Macaca mulatta: one gene and its partners. The protein of the gene in region 2 purifies or fractionates together with the protein of the main gene of each other region. This does not show direct contact. Links are inferred from orthologs where the notes say so. Each region holds a gene or a part of one and is shown on either strand. Other genes may lie near its edges.

Region 1 (4,674 bases), on a different chromosome or scaffold from region 2:
CTAAGGCTCTAGCTTGCAGATGCTGGATCAGGGAATGGGGTGGGGACATGGGCGTGGCGGAAATGGCTTGAAGCATCTCATGCATTTGAAAGAAAGGCAGTCAATGAACGAGCCCATCACCTACCAGGGTTCCAATCGATGGCATTGTCAATCGGACCTGACATCTGGTATTTGTCTGAATAACGCTCCACATCTGAGGGGTGGAAGAGTCAAAGTTTTATCCCTTGAGACCCAGAACAGGACTGTTCCTGAGAGTCCAGCCCTCTCAATACTCAGGAATTATCTGTTTCCTTACCCCAAACTCAGAGCCCAGGGGGTCAGCTTCAGTGAGGACCTTATCTCTTTTTTTTTTTCTTTTTTTTTTTTTTTGAGACAGAGTCCTGCTCTGTCGCTCAGGCTGGAGTGCAGTGGTGCAATCTCAGCTTACTGCAACCTCCACCTCCCAGGTTCAAGTGATTCTCCTGCTTCAGCCTCCTGAGTAGCTGGGACTACAGGCGCACATCACCACGCCCAGCTAATTTTTGTATTTTTAGTAGAGACAGGGTTTCACCATGTTGGCCAGGATGGTCTCAATCTCCTGACCTCGTGATCCACCCAACTCGCCCTCCCAAAGTGCTGGGATTACAGGCGTGAGCCACGGCGCCCGGCCCCTTATCACTCTTCTAACCTGTTTCTTTTCCACCTAAAATTATGATTTTTTTTTTTTTTTTTTCAGATGGAGTCTCACACTGTCGCCCAGGGTTGGAGTGCGGTGGCGCAATCTCGGTCCACTTCAACCTCCACTTCCCAGATTCAAGCAATTCTCCTTGCCTCAGCTTCCCAAGTAGCTGGGATTACAGGCACCTGCCACCAGGCCTGGCTAATTTTTTGTATTTTTTTTTTTTGTACAGACAGGATTTCACTATGTTGGCCAAGATGGTCTCGAACTCCTGACCTCGTGAGCTGCCCACCTCAGCCTCCCAAAGTGCTGGGATTATAGGTGTGAGCCACCACACCTGGCCAGTGTTTTTTTGTTTTGTTTTGTTTTTGTTTTTGTTTTTTTTTGAGGCAGAGCCTTGTTGTGTCATCCAGGCTAGAGTACAGTGGCGAGATCTCAGCTCACTGCAACCTCCACCTCCCAGGTTCAAGCAATTCTCGTGCCTCAGCCTCCTGAGTAGCTGAGACCACAGGCTCACACCACTGTGCCTGGCTAATTTTTATATTTTTAGTAGAGACAGGGTTTCTCCATACTGGTTAGGCTGGCCTCAAACTCCTGGCCTCAAGTGATCCACCCATGTCAGCCTTCCAAAGTGCTGGCCATTACAGGCGTGAGCCACCGCACCCGGCCATGATGACTTTTTTTTTTTTTTTCTGTCCCTTAGTTCAAAGGCATGGCTGTATTAAGAAATAGTGTGATGCAGTGGAAAGTATGCTAGGGAATAAGAAACCAGGATTTCGGCCGGGCGCGGTGGCTCAAGCCTGTAATCCCAGCACTTTGGGAGGCCGAGGCTGGTGGATCACGAGGTCAGGAGATCGAGACTATCCTGGCTAACACGGTGAAACCCCGTCTCTACTAAAAATACAAAAAAATTAGCCGGGCGTGGTAGCGGGCGCCTGTAGTCCCAGCTACTTGGGAGGCTGAGTCGGGAGAATGGCGTGAACCCAGGGGGCGGAGCTTGCAGTGAGCCGAGATCGCGCCACTGCACTCCAGCCTGGGAGACACAGCGAGACTCCGTCTCAAAAAAAAAAAAAAAAAAGAAAAAAAAGAAACCAGGATTTCAGTATTCTGTTTTTTTGTTTGTTTGTTTGTTTTTTGTTTTTTGAGACGGAGTCTCGCTCTGTCGCCCAGGCTGGAGTGCAGTGGCGCGATCTCGGCTCACTGCAAGCTCCGCCTCCTGGGTTTACGCCATTCTCCTGCCTCAGCCTCCTGAGTAGCTGGGACTACAGGCGCCCGCCACCGCGCCCGGCTAATTTTTTGTATTTTTAGTAGAGACGGGGTTTCACCGTGGTCTCGATCTCCTGACCTTGTGATCCGCCCGCCTCGGCCTCCCAAAGTGCTGGGATTACAGGCGTGAGCCACCGCGCCCGGCCGATTTCAGTATTCTGTTGTTGGTTGGTGCTTTTAATATCCAGATTGTTAAAATTTTTGCTGGGCACGGTGGCTCATGCCTGTAATCCCAGCACTTTGGGAGGCCAAGGCGGAAGAATCTCTTGAGCCCAGAAGTTCAAGACCAGCCTGGGCAACATAAGAACACCCCATCTCTATTTTACAAAAAAATAAAAAATATATAAATTTTTAGAAAATACATCCCCCCACCTACACACAAGAAATGGGATTTTAATATTTAACCTCCCGCTGTCCCAAAACTATCATGAGACTCAAAACAAACCATGAATACTATAATGCATTTCAGATGCAGGAGTAACTATTATGATCTCCCCAGTTAGACAGTATGCTTCCTGTGCCTCTCCAGCCCCCAGTGGTGCTGAGCACAGGGCACTCCCCACGGAAGGCACTCAGAATATGATGCTAGCATTCCAACTGACCTCTCTTGGGGACAGCTGGCCGGATGAAGTAGGGGAGCTGCCTCATGGCTCCTCGTAGCTCCTGCTTCAGTGCCAGGACATATTCCCCTTCCTCTCCTGAAGGCAAAGGTACTGGGCGGAACTCCAAAGGCTAAAGAGGCAGGGGCAGTGGTCTGTTCAGGGAGAAAATGCTAGTACAAATTTAGGAAGACCCCTCCTCCCAATTTAATCTAATATTCCCCTGAGCAGAGGGCTGAAAGAGAATGGGGAGAGTAACATATCATTTTGAAAGCTGGGGAGAAATAAAGGTGGACACTTCTTTGACTGCAAAACATCCCTTGTGCATTGGGAGTATAGAGACAGAGAGGGCCAGTGAGGATGGTTTTATGATGGTCCAGGAGGAATTCAGAATCATGTACAGTCAGCCAGGGGCACATGAGAGTCTGGGAAGGAAGTGGAGAGACTCACAGGGAAGAGTGGAGAAGGCTGCAGGGTGGGTGGGGGCAAAGTATCCCCTTTCCCAATGCCCACGGCCTCCATGTTGAAGGTCAACTGGCCCCGGCCACGACCCCGGCCCCCACCCCGGCTGGCCATGGTGGAGGGGGCCTGGGTGTTCAGAGATCCAGTGAAAAAACCTGATAAAGACAAAAACAAAGAGAAAAAGAAATGTAGTAGAATGGACAGGAAGCCAAGGAGGTACAAGACATTCAATCTTTTATCGCTGGGACATAAAAAGTCAATGTCATTCAACAAATTTTGACTGAGAAGGCACAGTGTCAGAGAGAGAATTTCTGGAAACATAAACATGAATGAGACATGGTCCCCCAAACAGGTCAGATAATTACAATATAGTTTAGCACAAAGGAGAAAGTGCTTAGACCCTCGGACAAAACTCTACATCCCTAAGACAATTTGATGTTTATTCCTATCTGCATTTATTTATTTTTATTTTTAGAGATACTCTGTCACCCAGGCTTGAGTGCAATGGTGCAATCACAGCTCACTCTAGCCTCGAACCCCTGGGCTCAAGTGATCCTCCTGCCTCAGCCTCCCAAAGTGCTGGGATTACAGGCATGAGCCACTATGCCCAGTCACTAACTGCATTTATATGTATAACCTTTGAATTCTTTCTATCTCTGGCCTTCCAAACCTGACCAGGCCCCAATTCAATCCAAAGAAATGCATTCAGCGAAACATTTATTAATCATCTACCATGAAAAAGATAGTGTCAGACACTGTGGGAGCACAGGGATGAGTCATCAATTTCATTGTCAACCAGGGGAAAAGAGACATTACAATCAAATTTTATTTTATTTTATTTTATATTTTATTTTAGACAAGGTCTCTTTATGTCACCCAGGCTGGAGTGCAGTGGTGTGATCATGGCTCACTGTAGCCTCAACCTCCTGGGCTCAGGTGATCCTCCTGCCTTAGCCTCCCAAGTAGCTGGAGCTACAGGTGTGTGCCACCATACCTGGCTCTTTGTTTTGTTTTTTTGTTTGTTTATTTGTTTGTTTTTAAGAGATGGAATTTCATTATGTCAAGTGATCCAAATGTCTCGGCCTCCCAAATTGCTGGGATTACAGGCATGAGCCACCACGAGAGGCCAGATTGATCTTTTTAAACACCACTTGGAAGCACAGAATCTTAGAATTCGGAGGACCCTTAGAGGTCATCTAGTCTAAATCCCTCCCAGTGCAGGACTTCACTCTGTAAATTGTTTTGTTGTTGTTTGGTGTATGTGTGTCTTTTTTTTTTTTTTTTTTTTTTTGAGACAGAGTCTCACTCTGTTGCCCCGGCTGGAATGCAGTGGTGCAATCTTGGCTCGCTGTAACCTACACCTTCAAGGTTCAAGTGATCCTCCTGCCTCAGCCTCCTGAGTAGCTGGAACTACAGGCATGTGCCACCAAGCCTGGCTAATTTTTGTATTTTTTGTAGAAACGGGGTTTCGCCATGTCACCCAGGCTGGTCTCGAACTCCTGGACACAAGTGATCCACCTGCTTGGGCTTCCCAAAGTGCTGGGATTACAGGTGTGAGTCACCACCCCTGACCCTACTTTGTGAATTGTTATTCAGCTTTTGGTGACATTTCCTAAAGAGATGGTATCCATTCTCCCCCAAGACAGTATATTCCACTGTGATGAACACTGATGAATCCAAAGTTTCTCC
Region 2 (4,624 bases):
GGGGTGGGGAAGGCAGTTTGCAATTTGATTTGGAGAGGGAAGGTCTTAGCCATAAGGTGACATTTGAGCAAAAACCTGAAAGAGGTGAAGTGGGGGCCATGAGGTTATCAGGCGGGTAGAGCAGCTACACATCCCCAGAGGTGGGTTTAGAGAGGAGAGGAGGGTAGGAGGCTCGTGGGAGATGAGGTCTGGCAGGTCAAGGGGCAGGAGATTGTTTAGGGTTTACATGGGGTGATAAAGACTTTGGCTTTTATCCAGGTGCGGTGGCTCACACCTGCAATCCCAGCACTTTGAGAGGCCGAGGCAGGCGAATCACTTGAGGCCAGGAGTTCAAGACCAGCCTGGCCAATGTGGCAAAGCCCCGTCGCTACTAAAAATACAAAAATTAGCTGGGCAGATGGTGCATGCCTGTAATCCCAGCTACTTGGGAGGCTGAGGCACGGTAATCACTTGAACCTAGGAAGCAGTGAGTCAAAATCATGCCAGTGCACTTTGGCCTGGGCGACAGAGCGAGACATGTCTTAAATAAACAAATAAATAAATAAATATTAGATAGTTCAAATGTTAAGTAGATCAGACAAAAATCATGCCTGGCCAACATGGTGAAATCCTATCTCTATTTAAAATATAAAAATTAGCCGGGTACTGTGGCAGGCACCTGTAATACCAGCTACTTGGAAGGCTGAGGCAGGACAATCACTTGAACCCGGGAGGCAGAGGTTGCAGTGAGCTGATCGTACCACTGCCCTCCAGCCTGGGCGACAGAGCAAGACTCTGTCTCAAGGAAAAAAAAAAAAAATGCTGGTCTCACCCAAGAGCAGGGGTTTGGGGATTGCTGAGGCCTGGGGGTGCCTGAGTACCATCCTCCTATGACCACCTCTCTTCTCTTTGGGTATGTGAAGGGGCAGACCAGCTGAAATACTCAGCCTGCCCCGTGGAGACCTGCAGCCTTTCCTCTTCCTGGAATTCCCCTTCCCCTCTGCTGTCGTGGCTTACCCAATGCCCTCTCTCCTTCCAGGCACACCCCACGTGCCTCCTCCCCAGCAGAAAGGCCCGCCTGCCTCTCACCTCCCCTCCCTGTTACCTGCACCTGAGGTCAGACAGCCTGGATGTGAAGTCCAGTTCATCATCCTGCTTACTATGTGACTTTGGGTAAAAACGCACACAGTATCTCTGAGTTCCAGTCTGTTCATTATAAAACAGTAACAATCACCACACCTCACAGGGTTATTGTGTTGAATACAGGACAGAAGAGTGTGTGAAGAAGTCATTTTTAGACCAAATCACAGAAGAGTCATCTCACTCAGGATTCGAGTTAAAGTCAGCTTGAAAATCAAGTATCAGAGAGAGCTTTGGACTGTCTGTCTGCCTGTTTGACGTCTGGCTGCTCTTTCAAGCCTCCTCAGGGCCCTCAGTTCTCCAGTGTTTTAATCATGGCTGGGACCAGCTAACCTCTATCCTCCTCTCTGGCAGTGAATTCTCTGTGAGCAGAGAAGAAACCCTTAAAGCCAGTCATTTGCTTTTCCCTCGCAGGTGCAGCCCACACGTGTTGGCTTGGTCTACCCGCTTGCATCTGAATGTTTCTTTTTTTCTTTATTTCTTTTGGCTGATGGGGTATAGGGTTGGTCGTCCATTGTTGACTTCACGGTAGATGTAGAAAGAAGGTCAGTTGGTTGGTTGTGGGCTCCACCTCCCAGTTCAGGGCCTGTTGCAGAATAGGCACAGGGAAATGTTGGTTGAACCACTGACTGATGGTCCCAGTCTCTCGCCCTCCTTTGCAGATCGAGCTCAAGGACTGCGCGGCTGGCTCTCCTCTAGTATGGCCAATGAAGAGGATGACCCAGTCGTACAGGAGGTAACTGCTGCTCTCTGTCCCCTGCCGCCGGGGCTACAGGCAGTGGAACTGGGTCCTTGCCATGCATCCTCAGGCCAGTCTGGGATCTGTTGATGTTCTGGGACCCCAACCCTTGCTGTTTCCTCTGCCTGGTCCCCTCTGCTGTCCCCCAGACCCCTGCGTGGCTGACCTCTCCCTTCCTTCAGGTCTCTGATCCGGCATCACCTCATTCTAGAGAGGCCTTCCCTGACTGCCCTTTCACACCCAGCTCCCCTCCTGGACGCTCCCATGCCTCTCTCTGCCCTTACCTTGGCGATAACTCATACTTGGCCTAGCCCCTGTCATCCCCTAGATATCAGTTCATTGCTTTCTTTCCTGTCCACTGCTGTGCCACAAAGCCCAAGTACAGTGCCTGGCACCCAGGTACCCGGCAACTATGGTGGAGTCATTGATGCAGTCATTCAGCAGCTGTTCACTGGACCACTGTGTGCTGGGGGCTGTGACACATCAGTGAGCAGGGCAGGGAGGGTCCCCTTCCCTGGGAAGCTAATGGGCTGGGGATAGGACTGATGAGGCAGGAGTCTCCGGGTGTAGGGTGCAGGCAGTGGGAGGCAGATTTCCCGCCCCCCCCGCCTTTTTTTTTTTTTTTGAGACAGAGTCTTGCTCTGTTGCCCAGGCTAGAGTTCAGTGGTGCCATCTTAGCTCACTGCAGCTTTCGCCTCCCAGGTTCAAGCGATTCTCCTGCCTCAGCCTCCTGAGTAGCTGGGATTACAGGCGCCCATCACCACGCCCGACTGATTTTTTTTTTTTGAGATGGAGTCTCACTCTGTTGCCCAGGCTGGAGTGCAGTAGTGTGATCTTGGCTCACCGCAGCCTCTGCCTCCGGGTTCAAATGATTCTTGTGCCTCAGCCTCCTGAGTAGCTGGGATTACAGGCACCCGCCACCATGCCTGGCTAATTTTTGTATTTTTAGTAGAGACAGGATTTCACCATGATAACCAGGCTGGTCTCGATCTCCTGACCTCAAGTGATCACCCACTTTGGCCTCCCAAAGTGCAGGCATTACGGGCATGAGCCACCATGCCTGGCCCAGGTTTCCCTTCTTAGAGAAAGCTGTTTATAGTCAAACTCACGTTTCAGAATCCTTTTAACCCAGGACTTAGACCTTTGGAGGGCAAAAGGCAAAAAGTAACTGCATCTGCCTTCAGCCTCCCTATATGCAGAGCCTGACCTCCAGTGGGAAGGGCAGGGGCAAGGAGAAGGTCCTCGGAGATGAATAGAGGTGGTTTTTCCTTGCTTGGGGGATGTTGCTAAGTTATTAGATTTGGGTTATTTAGATGCATTTAAGCTGCATCTACACTGTAGTACGGGGGTGGTGATGGGACAGAAGAGTCCAAGGGACTCTGAGGACAGAGGCAGCGCCCTCTGCAGCCAGGGACCCTGGAATGCTTCCTGCCCAAGTCATGCCTCAACCAACTCCTTGGAGGAGCAAGCAATCAAGGCTCAGGGGAGGCATGTGTGAAGGGCTCTGTAGATGCAGGGAAAAGCGTGTGCAAAGGCCCAGGGGCAGGAGAGAATGTGGTTCATAGGAGGAGCTAGGAAGCAGGAAGGTAAACTGTTGCATGGTGGGGTGGGGGTGGTTAGTGTTGGGAAGACAGGAAGCGAAGCCATCAGTCATGAAGGGCAGACCCCCTAAGACAGGGTGATAGGCCTGTCCAGGAGGGGCAGGTGGAGGGCCCAGCCAGGAGGCACAGGCATAGGTGAGCCCTCACCTGCCTGCCTCTCAGAAGAGCATTTGCCCAGGCTCCAGGACGTTTCCCAATCAGTGCAGCCCCAGGGAAGATGTGTGCTTACTGGGGGATTATGAACTTGGGTGGGGGTGCCAGGTGAACTCTTGCCCTGGTTCCCCTGGGAGCTTTCTGGAGGGATTCCTGAATATACCCAGTGTGCAGCCTTGGATCCCCTTGGTTTTAGCATGAGCTGAGCTATTTCCTCCTTCCCCAAACTGCCTCCCTGAGCCACTACCCCTCACTGAAGCTGGAAGTGCCGGCACAGCCCCGGGAGGTCCGCACTGTGTCCAGTCTCCCGGTTAAGTCATCTTCCCTTCTTCCCAGATCGACGTGTACTTGGCCAAGAGTCTGGCGGAAAAGCTGTATCTATTTCAGGTAATTATGGGACTTGAAGGTAAAGAGGGGAAAAGCAGGTGTGGATGGGTGGTGTGGACTCAGGAACATGGGCAGGAAGCGATGGGAAACCTCAGCTAGGGTTCTCAGTGTGGAGAGTGTCATGGGGTCTCTTTGCTTTCGCGGGTGGGTTAATATTGGTCTCATTTCAAAGACGGGAAAACCGAAGGGACACAGGAGAGGCAGAAGGGTGCAGCAGTTAAAGCTGGGGCTCTAGGGTCAGACTGGATTGAGATCCAACTCCATCACACCGTAGCTGCGAGACCGTGGGCACATTTCTTAATCCTTCTGTGCCTCAGTTTCCTCACTTGCAAAGTGGTGATGGTAATAATGCCTGCCTCATAGGGTCCCCGGGAGGACAGACTGGGTCCACAGTGAAGTGTTTAGGATGCCACCTGGCAGAGAGTTAGTGCCAGTGATGATGGCCGCTGTTGTGGAGGCTCCAAGGGGCAGCTCCATGGCAGCATCTGTGAGCCCTCAGTCCTGCCAGCTGTGAGGGCCCCAGGTTGCTACCTCTGCCCCCTCCCCTTGCTGCTGGGCCAGCAGCTTGTCATAGTGGCCAACATGTATTGAGCATTGACCATATGCAGACTGTTTAAAGCATTTA
Region 3 (4,503 bases), on a different chromosome or scaffold from region 2:
TAATTAACAATATAAAAAATCCCATTTAAAAATGGTTACTGGTCGGCTGGGCGCAGTGTATCAAGCCTGTAATCCCAGCACTTTGGGAGGCTGAGGCGGGCAGATCACGAAGTCAGGAAATCGAGACCATCCTGGCTAACACAGTGAAACCCCATCTCTACTAAAAATATAAAAAAATTAGCCGGGCGTGGTGGCGGGCGCCTGTAGTCCCAGCTACTCGGGACTGGCGTGAACCCAGGAAGCGGAGCTTGTAGTGAGCCGAGATTGAGCCACTGCACTCCAGTCTGGGCGACATAACAAGACTCCGTCTAAAAAAAAAAAAAAAAAAAAAAAAGGCACATTACAAACAAACATGATGTCATTTAGTCCTCGCAGCAACCCCGTGAGCTAGGCATGATCATGATCATCTCTATTCTACTGATGGGGAAACAGGCTGAAGGAGATTAAGGTTACTCAACAAATAAGTGATAGAGCTGAGAAATGAACTCAAGTGGGGTGCCAAAGTCTTTCCATCACACCAAGCTCCCTCCCAAGACACAAGACCCACATAGCCTAGGGCACTCAGCAGTCACCTCCTCAGCCTTCAAAAGGCTACAACTCACAAGCATGTAATCACTGTTATAGATAAATACCTGGTTGTTGGAATTTTTTTCTTTTTTTTTTGAGACAGGGTCTTACTCTGTCACCCAGGCTGGATTGCAGTGGTACAATCATGGCTCACTGCAGCCTCAACCTCCTGGGCTCAGGCAATCCTCCCACCTCAGCCTCCCAGGTAGCTGGAACTACAGGCATATGACAACATGTGCAGCCTTTTTTTTTTTTTTTTCTTTTTTTCTTATTTTTGTAGCAGTGAGGTTTCGCTATGTTGCTCAGGCTGGTTTTGAACTCCTGTACCCAAGCAATCCTCCTGCTCGGCCTCCCAAAGTGCTTAGATTACAGGTGTGAGCCACGGTGTCTGGCCTGTTTGAATTCTTAAGTGCAGAAATTTCCTTAAGGTTACTCAGATTCTGCTGATCATCATTTATTCCAGGAATTAAAGAAGAGTCTTTCTATATCACTTATCTACTTAGTTCTCAAGGCATATTCCAAGTATTACCTTCTCCACTACCTCACCTGGAAGGCCTATCATCAGTGGGGTTGTATTCACCATCATCCAGGGTACCATCTTCATACAAGGTACTAGCTATGACCAACCGGAACTTGTCACCTGAAAATAACAGCAATATCAGAGAGTGAAGAATAGCGGAAGCGGCAAAATGCCTCTTATTATTGTCTGTGTTCAATACTTACCCAAGTCTACAGGGTAAATTTGAATGTTTACATCTAAGATTAGATCCATCTTGAAAGATTCACTCTCACAATGCAGTCGAGACACTGGGGAGAAGCAGGAAAAGAGTGACAGAGGTATTGCCAGGCCCAAGGCAGATCCTACAGTGTGGGATTGTATGCAACAGAATACTCAATCTAACCCAGTCTACAACCACTGGTCTCTCATCTGCTCTCATAGAAATGCAGGCTCCATCAGAACCAGACATGCAAGAAGGAAAAGGGGAGAAAAACTGTGGCAAGTGAACGTAATCCCCAGAAAACAACCAAAGATACTTCAGCAGCAAATAATACCCGGTTCTAGGCCTGCCTGGATGACTGAGAACCTGACTCTGGGCAAGTTATTCAATCATCCAAAGGTTTCCTCTTTCTATGACAGGCACTGTGCTGAGGGGAGTTATCAAGATGTATAAGAACTGGTATCCGTCTTGAAAACATCTGAGTCTCCAGGCAAAGAATGAGACATCAAAAAGAAAATTATTGATAGATGACAAAATTAAGAGGTGTAGGCCAGTGGAGTGGCTCACGCCTGTAATCCCAACATTTTGGGAGGCTGAGGCAGGTGGATCACTTGAGGTCAGGAGTTCGAGACCAGCCTGGCCAAAGTGGTGAAACCCCGTCTCTACTAAAAATACAAAATTAGCCAGGCGTGGTGGAGCATGTCTGTAATCCCAGCTACTTGGGAGGCTGAGGCAGAGAATCGCTTGAACCCGGGAGACGGAGGTTGTGGTGAGCCAAGATCGTGCCACTACACTCCAGCCTGGGCTCGAGGCTCTGTCTCAAAAAAAAAAAAAAAAAGGATATACCAAGCAGCTAACTCTAACTCAGAGAAGACTTAAAGCGCTAAGGATTATGAGGGCAATACAAGAATATAGGCTCTGAAGTCAGATTACTCGCTGTGAAGCCTTGGGTGGATTACTCTCTCAGAAAAAAATGGGGAAGGCACCACCCACCTCATGAGGACTCTCATTTTCTTGAGGAGTCTCGCTCTGTTGCCAGGCTGGAGTGCAGCGGCGCAATCTTGGCTCACTGCAACCTCCGCCTCCCAGGGTCAGGCAATTCTCCTGCCTCAGCCTCCCAAGTAGCTGGGATTACAGGCGCCCGCCTGTAATTTTTGTATTTTTGGTAGAGACGGGGTTTCACCATGTTGGCCAGGCTGGTCTCACAAGACAGTGTCTAGCACAGAGCAGGTAGCGATTATAAAGATGCCCAGGAGTTTGCCAGCACCATGACAAAAGGCCACCTAGGCACCGGGCACGGCATGCGTGAAGCCAGAGAAAGCTCGGGAGTCTCCCTTTTCTCATCCATAAATTGTTTCCTGAGGGAGGTCCCTACATCAGGACCTGCTGGTAGGGGCAGGCCACAAGAGCTGGGTGGACACGGGGTCCAGGGGCATGTCCGCGAGGTTAGCCTCTTCCTCCAAATCGCCCCTACCTACTTTACTTACCTCGGTCAAACTTCTTGCCCTCCGGGTCAATATCCTTCACATCGAAAATATCTTCAAAGAGGATGCCCGCCATCGCGAGGGGGCCACGAGAGCAGCAGAAGGGGTGAGCGGGCGACCACAGCTGGGAGTACGCGCACCCGCTCTGGTGCAGAAGAGGGGAGAAGAGCAAAACCAGCTTTTACATGCGCGGCAGCCAGACAAGAGTGGCGCATGCGCACAAACAAGTGGTAACGCGCCCACTTCCGCCACAGACTCCCGCTCGGGGCTACTTAACTTCCGCCCCAAAAGATTGCTCCCGAGAGGCTTCGGCGTTGAGGGCGGGTCTCACGTCCAGGTGGCCCCGCCCAGGGCGGGGAAACAATAGGTCCAACCTCCCGCGGCTGTAGAGCGGGTTCTAGCGCTCAGCTGGGGCTCTGCTGCGCCCTCTTCAGAGGCCGGGTCCCGAAGATTGGAAGTCGTGGGGGCCTAACCCAGGCAGGGACCTTGATCCTTGGCCCAGAGAAGCCGGGCCCTAGCCCTACCCCGCCGGTCTGCGTGCCCGCCTAGGGCACAGTCCGCGCCGAGGGCAGGTGGAGCAGAACCCCGCCCCAGAGGTGCCCAGCCCCTCCAGCCGGCACCGCGGACCCCGGGGCCTGCCCGGGCCGGCTCGGCCCTGCTGGATGTAACCCGAGCCGGATCCGTCCAGTTTGGGAATTTGCCATGATGTCGCTATGGAGAAGAGGAAAGCCTGTATTGTCCCCTCCCCTCGTACTGCACCCTCCCACCACTGCCCGCTTCCCCCAGGCCCTGCTGTCTTCCCCGTCACCGCCCCCTCAGCCTGGCTCCCGCCACCCGCCTCCCCCGGGCATTACCCCTCCAACTTAGTCCTCCACTGCCTTCTCCTGGACACGGATCCCCTCCGTGCCCCTTCAGCCTGGCACTGCCCTGTCCCTTGGACACCAGCTCTTCCCTCACACTGGCCCTTCCTCCTGGGTACTGGCTTCTATCACAAGGCTCCCCCTTCCCGGGCACTGCCCCCGCCCCCTGAGGCCCTCCTCTGCCTCCCAAATGCCCCTTCCTCCTGGTGCTGGCTGTCCCGCACACTTGTGCGTTTCCTGGGCGCTGCCCTCGCTCCTCTCACACTATCTCTATGCTGCCCATCCACCCTGCGCGCGCTCTGCCATCTGTTCTATCCTTCACCAGCCCCTGATAGAGAACCCAGAGCACCAGCAGGCGGTTCCCCCAAAGCGGAGAGATGGAAGCAGCGACTCTGGTTCCTCCTTGGGCCCAACCAGGGAGAAGCGACCCACGCCCGCGTCCCAGAAGTGGACTTCCCGGCACCTGGAGCTCCCTTCCCTCCGGCCTACCCCTTCCGGTGCCCTCCCCAACCTCCACCCCTGCACACCCCGTAGGCCGGGTTGCTCCAAGTGCACCTCCCCAGGGGAGCCCCGAGAAAAGGAAGGATGAGGAAGACGGCTCCAATTCCCTCCGAATTCTCCCAGCTTTGCTTTTCACCCCTGACGGGGCAGAGGGGCCTTCCTGGGCCTGTCTGGGCCGCTCGTCCCTTCGGAGGGACAGAGGGGAGGCGGCTCCTAACGGGCTGACCCGGAGGAATCCGATGTAGACAGCTCCGCAGCTCCCAGCCCCAACCCCTACGGAGTTCAGGCGTCTGCAGCCCCTCCTGCCTGGGCACTGGGAACTGCGAACCCGGGTGGGCCCCTCCACGTGCCAGTAGACCCGCCCCTCCCGGG
Region 4 (4,542 bases), on a different chromosome or scaffold from region 2:
CAGACATACCTGATCAAATCTGGTAGCAAAGAGATTGAGTGAGGTCACTATGCCGCCATTGGGTCCAAGTCCATATCTAGACACCAAGTTGAGGACTGAAATCGCTTATAGATTAGATTATAAAGTTCACACCCAGGCTATCATTCACACAAAACAGCATTATGAAATTAGTGTTCCATTAATGAATATTGGCAACCTAATCCGTGACTACCACACAAACTTAACCACACAGGGAAACATTCAGTATCAAGGTCTGGCTCACTCATTTATGACTTTAGGAATGGCCAGGCAAAATGAAGAAAGCAAAGTGACCAAAATGTAATACAGGTGCATCAGGCAGTGACAGCTCCCTAGCATTGGCCATGAAGGCCACCTGTATAACACCTCCGGCTCTGATCCTCATAAACAAATTAAGCAGAGTACACATTTCACACAGCAATTTACTAAGAGTTAATCCAACTAAACCCACTCATTTCTGAGTTTCCCAGTCTAAAGAGGTGGTGACCAACAGATGATCCTCCAAGGCAAAATACTACCTTGTGGGACCCAGGTAGCTGTCAGTTATCCTGTCCTACTCTCTGCTCTTTAATTACAACAGCCTGCCATCTGGGGAGACAGTAAAAAAACTAAAATCTCAAGCTGAAATAATATTTCTGATCACCTACCTCTGCCACAATCAGCTTCCATCCTTTTGCTTGTATATTTCACAGGGAAAAGGCAAAAACACTCTTTCAAGCCACAAAATACACAGAAACGAAGCCAGGAATGAGTCAAGACCAAAGTAGATGGAAAAGGATACTGTTTCATGACTTCTTTATACTTTACAGTGTCACGAATATCTGAGGAGAAAGAAAAGAATTAACTGGAATGTAATACATGCACATTCCCTACCAGCAGGAAAGTGAAACTGGCCTTCTAGCCTTCTCTTGTCAGCATTCTCTTCTACCACCTCCACTTTCACACTGGTTTCCTTCCTTACAAAGAATAAATGTCAAGTAATTCATGAAGAATGTTAGGGCTAGGAGCTCTAAAGTTATGGTAGAGAGTTTTGTCTCCACAAAGTGAGAAGTTTCACACAAGTCAAACACGCCTAGAAAAAGGGAGGCAAAAATCAAGGGGGAAAAAAAGCTTCTTACTAATTGCCTATTACTAACAAACGCAATGCAAAGGCAATGCAGACATGATTTTTAAAAAGGAATTAGGCTGGGCACAGTGGCTCACACCTGTAATCCCAGCATTTTGGGAGGCCAAGGCAGGAGGATCACTTGAGCCCAGGAGTTCAAGACCAGCCTGGGCAACATAGAGAGGCCTTGTCTCTCCAAACAAAACAAAACTAGCCCAGCATGGTGGCAGGAGGCTGAGGTGGGAGGATCACTTGAGCCTGGGATGTTGAGGCTGCAGTGAGCTGTGAATCACGCCACTGCACTCTGGCCTGCTGGGTGACAGAGACTCTATAAAAAAAACAACAACAACAACAACAAAAAAAGCCTAAGCTGTTTAGGAACTCAAGCAAATCCAAAGGAAATGAAAGTAGATAGTTTAGAAAACATCAAAAAAGAAGGCACTGAAGACTGGCAGGCTGGAGAGTCTGACTCTATTGCCTAGGCTGGAGTGCAGTGGTGCTATCTTAGCTCACTACAACCTCTGCCACCCGGATTCAAGCAATTCTCCTGCCTCAGCCTCCCGAGTAGCGGGAATTACAGGCATCTGCCACCGCGCCTGGCTAATTTTTTGTATTTTTAGTAGAGATGGGGTTTCACCATCTTGCCCAGGCTGGTCTTGAACTCCTGACCTCTTCATCTACCTGCCTCGACCTCCCAAAGTGCTGGGATTACAGGGGTGAGCCACTGCGCCCGGCCTTTTCCATTCTCTTTAAAGCACTTCACACAAGTTATGTTACCGGTTTACTCACCAATATTGGCAGGAAAGGGAACTTCATGTACTGCTGGATCCAGGTTGATCACATAAGGTGGAGTGCCTTGGGCATGCAGGTGTCCTGTGAGCCTCTGCAGAGATATGGGGAGAAGGTTGGAAGGAGACAAAGAGGGGACAAGAGAGAACTTCCTTTACCACCCATGCCTTAAGAGTTTTGCACTTAGATTTTCTTTTACCTGAAATATCCACCCACTATATCCACCACCAAGATACAACTCTCAGTTCAAATGCTACCTTTCTTCATCACCCATCTAACAAAACTTCCCCTACTCATAGTCACTTGTTTACTTGTTTTGATTCTTCGTATGTGGGTTTTCTCTATCTCCTCCATTAAATATTTAGCCCCATGAATGAATCTTGTCAACCTAATTTTCGCTATATCCCCAGTGAATGGTACATGACAGGCGTGCAAGAAATAATTCTTCGGCAAATCTTCACCAAAACCTGTGTGCTAGCACTGTATTAATCTCTAAAGTTACTTGTAAGCCCCTGCCTTCGAGAAACTGGCAATTTTATCAGCAAGACAATTCCTGTACAACGTGGTAAGCTGACCGAGTATGCACTGAAGGTGCACAGAAGACAGCCTTAATTAACCTGGCTAGGGCCCGAGGAGGCTTTGCCGGGGAAGGAACTAAAGTTGATGGGAAACGACCGAAACCCATGCGCCGATACCCTCCAAATCCTCGGAGACCTCCCTCCCTTTCTCCCTGGCCTTCCGCCTGTCGGAGGCAACCTTTTGCGCTCCCCTACTACACCCACGCTGTGTACGTCACCTGTACAAAGGTGGTTTTCCCGGATCCCGCCATTCCCAACACCAACAGACACACTGGGTGCCGCGGACCCCCAGAAGCCTGGGGCTCAGCTGCAGCTGCGGGAGCCGCCATCTTCCTCCTGGCCCCGCCCACCTGACCATAGAGACACCGCATGGCTAGAGAAACTTCCGCGATGTTCTGGGCAGCGAACGAAAACAGAACCAAAGCGTCAGAAAGGAGCGTGAAGGGGCGCGGTAGTTGCCAGGGCATCTTCTTAGTATCGGGCAGGGCTGGTGAGCCAACTAGTGACAGTGGCGAGGAAGTGGGGGCGCTGAGCAAGCGAGAGGAAGGCTGAAGGGAGCTAGGAAAGGGCTCTGATCTCTGCAGCCTGGGAGGGCTTTTGGCCCCAGGGGGAAGGCGAGAAGAGATGGGGTCCCGAGGGCAGGACTCACACAGCAAGAAAACGAGGCGCATGCCTCTCATTTCGAGCCCGCAGAGAGCGGGGAGCGGAGCCACTGGAGGACCGGCTGCTCGGGTTTATTCGGTAGCCGAGGCGGTTAAACAGTTCAGGGCTGGACCAGCCAGGACTGGAGCAGGGTGCAGCCTCCAGGGTTGCTGGGCAGCACCGAGACCCTTTGAGCACCGAACGGATAAACTACGGGAGTTTTCCGCACTTGCACGTTGTTCCCGCGAGTTGCAGGCGCAGGTTCCTGATGCTAGCGCTCATTCCTTGGTAATCACCCTCGGTGAACTACGCAGTTGCCGTGACCTTCAGGATGAATGCTTGGATTCCAGGTGCGAATAGGTACTGGAGGGGAGCTTCCTTCTCACTGAAGGGCTCTCAGAAACTCAGGAAAGATGATGAAAGAGCTTAGAAAAGTATTTCTACTCGCAACCACCCAGTCTGTTTCTGTGGCCCTTTGTAGCTGCTAACAGTGTTCAGTAAGTCATAAGATCTGGCTTTCATACCCAGGCTCTGCCACTTGCTAGTGGTGTGAGTCATGGGCAATTCACTTAAACTCTCTGAACCTGTTTTCTCTTTTTAAAACTGAGATAGTACCTCCCAGGGTTGTGGTGAACGCACGTTGTAAATGATGAGCTAAATCCGTCATCTTTTACCACTAGCTGGATTCCCCTCACCTTGCATAATGTCTGGAACATTCTGGGTACTCAGAAATATTCTCTGGTATAAATAAAGGACAGTTGTGCACTTCCTAAAGTTTCATCAACTGAGAGAGGAATGTCTCATTTGTTCTTTCAGGTTTGCTGAGGGCCCCAGAAGGCTCCTTCCACCGTATCATAGGCTAATAAATAATTTTGTCAAGCCAGAGAAGCTAACAAAGGTGGAGACAATCCTTAAAGAAAAGATAGTGGCGGAAATGACGGTTCTGAACAAGCATATAAAACAAGCTCAAATCCAGCGGGAACAGCTACTGGAGGAATACAGGGAGCTATACCAAGAAAAGTTACTTGTCCAGGCTGAAAACAGGTTCTTTCTGGAATACCTGACTAACAAAACTGAAGAGTACACAAAGCAACCTGAGAAGGTATGGAACAGCTATTTACAACAAAGTGGAGAGATTGAACGAAGAAGACAAGAATCAGCCTCCAGATATGCAGAACAAATTTCAGTGCTTAAAACAGCGCTCTTGCAAAAGGAAAATATCCAATCCAGTTTGAAGCGGAAGTTGCAGGCAATGAGGGACATTGCTATATTAAAGGAAAAGCAGGAGAAAGAAATACAGACATTACAGGAGGAGAAAAAGAAAGTCCAAGCTGAGACAGCTGCAAAGACACGTGAAGTACAGGCCCAGCTCCTCCAGGAGAAAAGATTACTGGAGAAACAACTGAGCGA
Region 5 (3,920 bases), on a different chromosome or scaffold from region 2:
CAACGAGAACACAGGGACACAGGGAGGGGAACAACACACAGCGGGGGCCTGTTAGGGGGTTGGGGGAGGGAGAGCATCAAGATAAATAGCTAATGCATGCTGGGCTTAAAACCTAGGTGATAGGTTGATAGGTACAGCAAACCACTATGGCCCACATTTACCTATGTAACAAACTTGCATGTTCCAAAAAAAAAAAAAAAGATTGTATGTTTCTAACAGTTCCTGTCAAAAGAAGTGAGTTTCTATAGTCAGAAAAGGTTTTAATTACAGTTGCTATGGATTCTACTTACTTATTAATTGTGTGTTCGTACAGTGCAATGTTACAATCATTTTCTTCATTCACATCTAAATATTCAACCAGACTCTCATGTAAGAAATCTTCAAAATTCCTGGGAAAATATTGGTGAAAGAGACATCATTAAAAAGCATTTTCTGCAGTATTTTATATAACAACAGGAGATACCGGCTTTCATTTAGGCCCAAAGCACCTTTCTCTCCCAGAGGATATCATTACATTGAGATACCTGAAACATGTTATTCTCAGCTCACACAGTAACCACAAATTGCTGAAATAAAAACAGCAAAGTGTCTGTCTGTAACTCTTGTCAACCTAGTCCCCACTTCTTAAAAAAAAAAATTCTGACCTTAGAAACCTCATGATGAGACCCACAGTGTCTACACTGACACATGATGTAAGTCCCTTTCTTACCAGAAACACTTGTGTACTAACTGACTTCAAGACTATGTAAGCCTCATGATCTAAATTGATGAATATTTTACAATGTCCAAGCAAGTTCACATGGAGCAAAATAGGTTTTTTAACAGGCTGGTAATTTGATGGAAAGAAATTAAAACACTAAAATGAAAATACACTTTTCTTAAATCATGTATGTGGGTATTAAGGAGATTGGTAAGTTTTACTTTTGGCTACTTACCTGTACCCTTGGGCCAGCTCTTCCATATGTTTATTTGTGACTGCTGGCTTCTGTTTCTTGACAATTATGTAGGGTCTAGAACGGAAACAGCAAAACCAAATTAATAGTAGTTCTAGGGAAAAATTACACTGGCAAATTAGTTTACCAAAGTGAGATGAAGGAAGATGTAAATACAACCAAACCTATTCCTGGATTGCTGAGTACACCAGGTATTTTTTGTATGTAAGAGCATGGTGTAGGGGCCTATGTTCTCTCTCACATATACATACATACATACCCAAGCCCATGTGCACATGTGAGTATGTGTACACATAGTCATGCACACACACAGTGCTTCCTGCAAGTATCTTAGGAAACATTTGGTTTTGAACGAAAAGGCAACACAAAAATGATACTCAAAGTCTGAAAAGGAAACAAAACCTTTAATGTCATATTTTTAAAAACGGTGTAATGTATCAATCTAAAAACATCCCCTGATTTCACATTGGAAATATTTTGTATACTACTCACAGAGTTAACAGTCAAAGAAGCACTGTCACCTAGGGTAATAAGTGGCATTGCGTTATGAGGTTCTGATGAATATCCAGATGTTTAGAGTAGTTTGATTTAGTCTAAACATCACTGAGCTAGGTTAGCAAGATACTTAAAGCTACAAGTGACCAAAGAGAGTGGCTAAAAGTTGGCAGAGAATAAAGCTTTCTTACTTTGTGGTTTTCAGCAACGTAATGGGTGGAAGGTGGAGAAGGCATTCTGGCAGATTAACCTGTAACTGTCAGTGGGGACTTGCCTCGGAGGGCTTTGCCACCATGAGGAAACCCCGACACAAAGGATGGCATGCGGCACTGAAACGTCAAGGGCTGTTGCTATTTGGATAAGCAGCTCTTACAGAGAGGAGCAAGTAACCACCAGACACTTGTACGCTCTACCCTAAAGTCCAAATAACTATTTGAGGACTAATGAGCACTTTTAAACAGTTAAGAAGAGGAGCTGCACAATTACAAAAGCGGAACACAAGTTGTTGAAAAATGAACTGGGTGAGCTTTTCATGGAAATCCACAGTACCTCGAAATTCTGGCTCCTTCTTGGTAGGGAAGCAGAGCCCGCTAATGCCTCATTTGAGCGCTGCAGTGGATTCAGGTTAAGCCTCAGATGAGACGACAGAAACCGGCGGAGGAGAGGGAGGGGATCACATTTAGCTGCCTCAGTTATCCTTACGTTAACTCAACACATTCTACTATTTTTTCCTGCTAGATCTGTCATGCCATTATAAAGTTGCTTCTATAAAAGAGTTTTCTTTTTTTTTTTTTTTTTTTTTTTGAGAGGGAATTGCTCTGCCACCCAGGCTGGACTGCAGTGGCCGGATCTCAGCTCACTGCAAGCTCCGCCTCCTGAGTTTATGCCATTCTCCTGCCTCAGCCTCCCGAGTAGCTGGGACCACAGGCGCCCGCCACCTCGCCCGGCTAGTTTTTTGTATTTTTTAGTAGAGACGGGGTTTCACCGTGTTAGCCAGGATGGTCTCGATCTCCTGACCTCGTGATCCGCCCGTCTCGGCCTCCCAAAGTGCTGGGATTACAGGCTTGAGCCACCGCACCCGGCCCGTTTTCTTTTCGAATATATATTATGTCGGATGTAATGAAATCCTAAAAAAGAGTAACCTAGAAATTGTCACTGTTATTCCTGCCCTTAACTGGACCATGCTATTAATAGTTATAAATAAGCACCTAATGTGTGCCTGGCACTCTACAGAGCACTTACCACACCTTATATCAGCTACTTCTCAAGACAATCTTAGGCAGGCATTATTGTTTCCATTTTATAGCCAGTGAAACCAAGGCTGAGAGACTGAAGTAGTACACTCAGAATCACACAACTCAGTAAGTGGGAAGTCAGGATTCAAACACAGGTATATCATCAGCTAACCATTCTTTGGTTGCAAAGAAGAGAAACCAATTCTGGCTAATTTAAGCAAAAATGAAGTTTACTGGAGGCATTAAGAATTTACCAGTGCTGGGTGCAATGGATCACACCTGTAATCCCAGCACTTTGGGAGGCTGACGTTGGTGGATCACTTGAGGCCAGGAGTTCGAGACCAGCCTGGCCAACACAGTGAAACCCCATCTCTACTAATAACACAAAAAATTAGCCAGAGGCGGTGGTGTGTGCCTATAATCCCAGCTACTCGGCGGGGCAGGGGTGGGAGGGGAGCTGAGGTATAAGAATTGCTTGAACCTGGAAGGTGGAGGTTGCAGTGAGACAATATTGTACCACTGCACTCCAGCCTGGGTGACAAACTGAGACTCTGTCTCAAAAAAAAATAAATAAATAAAAAAGTTAATGGAAGGATAAGAATCAACAAAAAAGCTGAAATGCTCAGCCTCAGAAAGAAAAGGAACTAGAGCAATTCCAAGGATCCAGAAAATGAGGTGTTAACAGGCAGTCTCTTGCATGCAGCACTGGGAGAATGAATCAGGTCCAACCACTTCCCTCCCTTGATTTATTTTACCTGGGATTCAAATTCTCTGATGAGGGGGTATGACTGGCCTCATTTGGGTCATATGCCCAACCCCTGGCTGAAGAGAAGAGGGCACTGGACTGACCATCCCAAGAAGCCTGCCAGTGGGGAGGGGCAGTCCTCAAAGGAAAATGAGGTAGTATCATATGAAGGAGGAATGGATGCTGGACAGTCACTCTCCCAGCTCTGACAGACTTCCAGCTACTGCTAGCTCACTGCCTCGTGCTTCAACTCTACCCGAGGTATACACAGAATAACTACGGTAATGCTAGAAAAGGCTTGTGAAACAAGGCAATGTCCTCAGCTGATGTCTCTGCATATCCCCTCAAACCAGACACTATGTCACATTCATCTTTGTACCTCCAGCTCCTAGATAGTACCTGTGCACAACAGGCCCTTAATAAATACTTACTGAATGAATAAAAGGAACCTACTTTTCCATTGGGTCTAGTGTTATTTTATTTCTTCATGTC

What was found.
Region 1: the proteins of POLR3E (region 2) and POLR3GL purify together in Homo sapiens (co-immunoprecipitation; 5 studies listed by BioGRID and IntAct, counting the BioPlex papers as one, with this or other methods). This does not show direct contact. The link is inferred for Macaca mulatta from reciprocal best matches to the Homo sapiens genes POLR3E and POLR3GL.
Region 3: the proteins of POLR3E (region 2) and POLR2H purify together in Homo sapiens (affinity purification with mass spectrometry; 3 studies listed by BioGRID and IntAct, with this or other methods). This does not show direct contact. The link is inferred for Macaca mulatta from reciprocal best matches to the Homo sapiens genes POLR3E and POLR2H.
Region 4: the proteins of POLR3E (region 2) and GPN1 purify together in Homo sapiens (affinity purification with mass spectrometry; 3 studies listed by BioGRID and IntAct, with this or other methods). This does not show direct contact. The link is inferred for Macaca mulatta from reciprocal best matches to the Homo sapiens genes POLR3E and GPN1.
Region 5: the proteins of POLR3E (region 2) and POLR3B purify together in Homo sapiens (affinity purification with mass spectrometry; 8 studies listed by BioGRID and IntAct, counting the BioPlex papers as one, with this or other methods). This does not show direct contact. The link is inferred for Macaca mulatta from reciprocal best matches to the Homo sapiens genes POLR3E and POLR3B.

The regions. Positions count from the first base shown.
Region 1 is NC_133406.1:119,326,532-119,331,205, forward strand, and holds the start of POLR3GL (DNA-directed RNA polymerase III subunit RPC7-like), read right to left. Parts: upstream 3,144-4,674; 5' UTR 3,100-3,143; coding exon 2,974-3,099; intron 2,657-2,973; coding exon 2,527-2,656; intron 194-2,526; coding exon 125-193; intron 1-124. UniProt on the Homo sapiens protein: DNA-dependent RNA polymerase catalyzes the transcription of DNA into RNA using the four ribonucleoside triphosphates as substrates. Specific peripheric component of RNA polymerase III which synthesizes small RNAs, such as 5S rRNA and tRNAs.
Region 2 is NC_133425.1:21,766,956-21,771,579, forward strand, and holds the start of POLR3E (DNA-directed RNA polymerase III subunit RPC5), read left to right. Parts: upstream 1-1,578; 5' UTR 1,579-1,729; coding exon 1,730-1,855; intron 1,856-3,948; coding exon 3,949-3,999; intron 4,000-4,624. UniProt on the Homo sapiens protein: DNA-dependent RNA polymerase catalyzes the transcription of DNA into RNA using the four ribonucleoside triphosphates as substrates.
Region 3 is NC_133407.1:96,502,975-96,507,477, reverse strand, and holds the start of POLR2H (DNA-directed RNA polymerases I, II, and III subunit RPABC3), read right to left. Parts: upstream 2,979-4,503; 5' UTR 2,847-2,978; coding exon 2,774-2,846; exon of another isoform or gene 2,766-2,773; coding exon of another isoform or gene 2,765-2,765; intron 1,375-2,764; coding exon 1,291-1,374; intron 1,208-1,290; coding exon 1,114-1,207; intron 1-1,113. UniProt on the Homo sapiens protein: DNA-dependent RNA polymerase catalyzes the transcription of DNA into RNA using the four ribonucleoside triphosphates as substrates.
Region 4 is NC_133418.1:97,364,744-97,369,285, forward strand, and holds the start of GPN1 (GPN-loop GTPase 1), read right to left. Parts: upstream 2,829-4,542; 5' UTR 2,820-2,828; coding exon 2,709-2,819; intron 2,483-2,708; coding exon of another isoform or gene 2,429-2,482; intron 2,007-2,428; coding exon 1,913-2,006; intron 840-1,912; coding exon 666-839; intron 105-665; coding exon 10-104; intron 1-9. Other genes in the region: CCDC121 (coiled-coil domain-containing protein 121), read left to right, coding at 3,115-3,482, 3,949-4,542. UniProt on the Homo sapiens protein: Small GTPase required for proper nuclear import of RNA polymerase II (RNAPII). May act at an RNAP assembly step prior to nuclear import.
Region 5 is NC_133416.1:113,653,227-113,657,146, reverse strand, and holds part of POLR3B (DNA-directed RNA polymerase III subunit RPC2), read right to left. Parts: intron 1,011-3,920; coding exon 936-1,010; intron 390-935; coding exon 291-389; intron 1-290. UniProt on the Homo sapiens protein: Catalytic core component of RNA polymerase III (Pol III), a DNA-dependent RNA polymerase which synthesizes small non-coding RNAs using the four ribonucleoside triphosphates as substrates.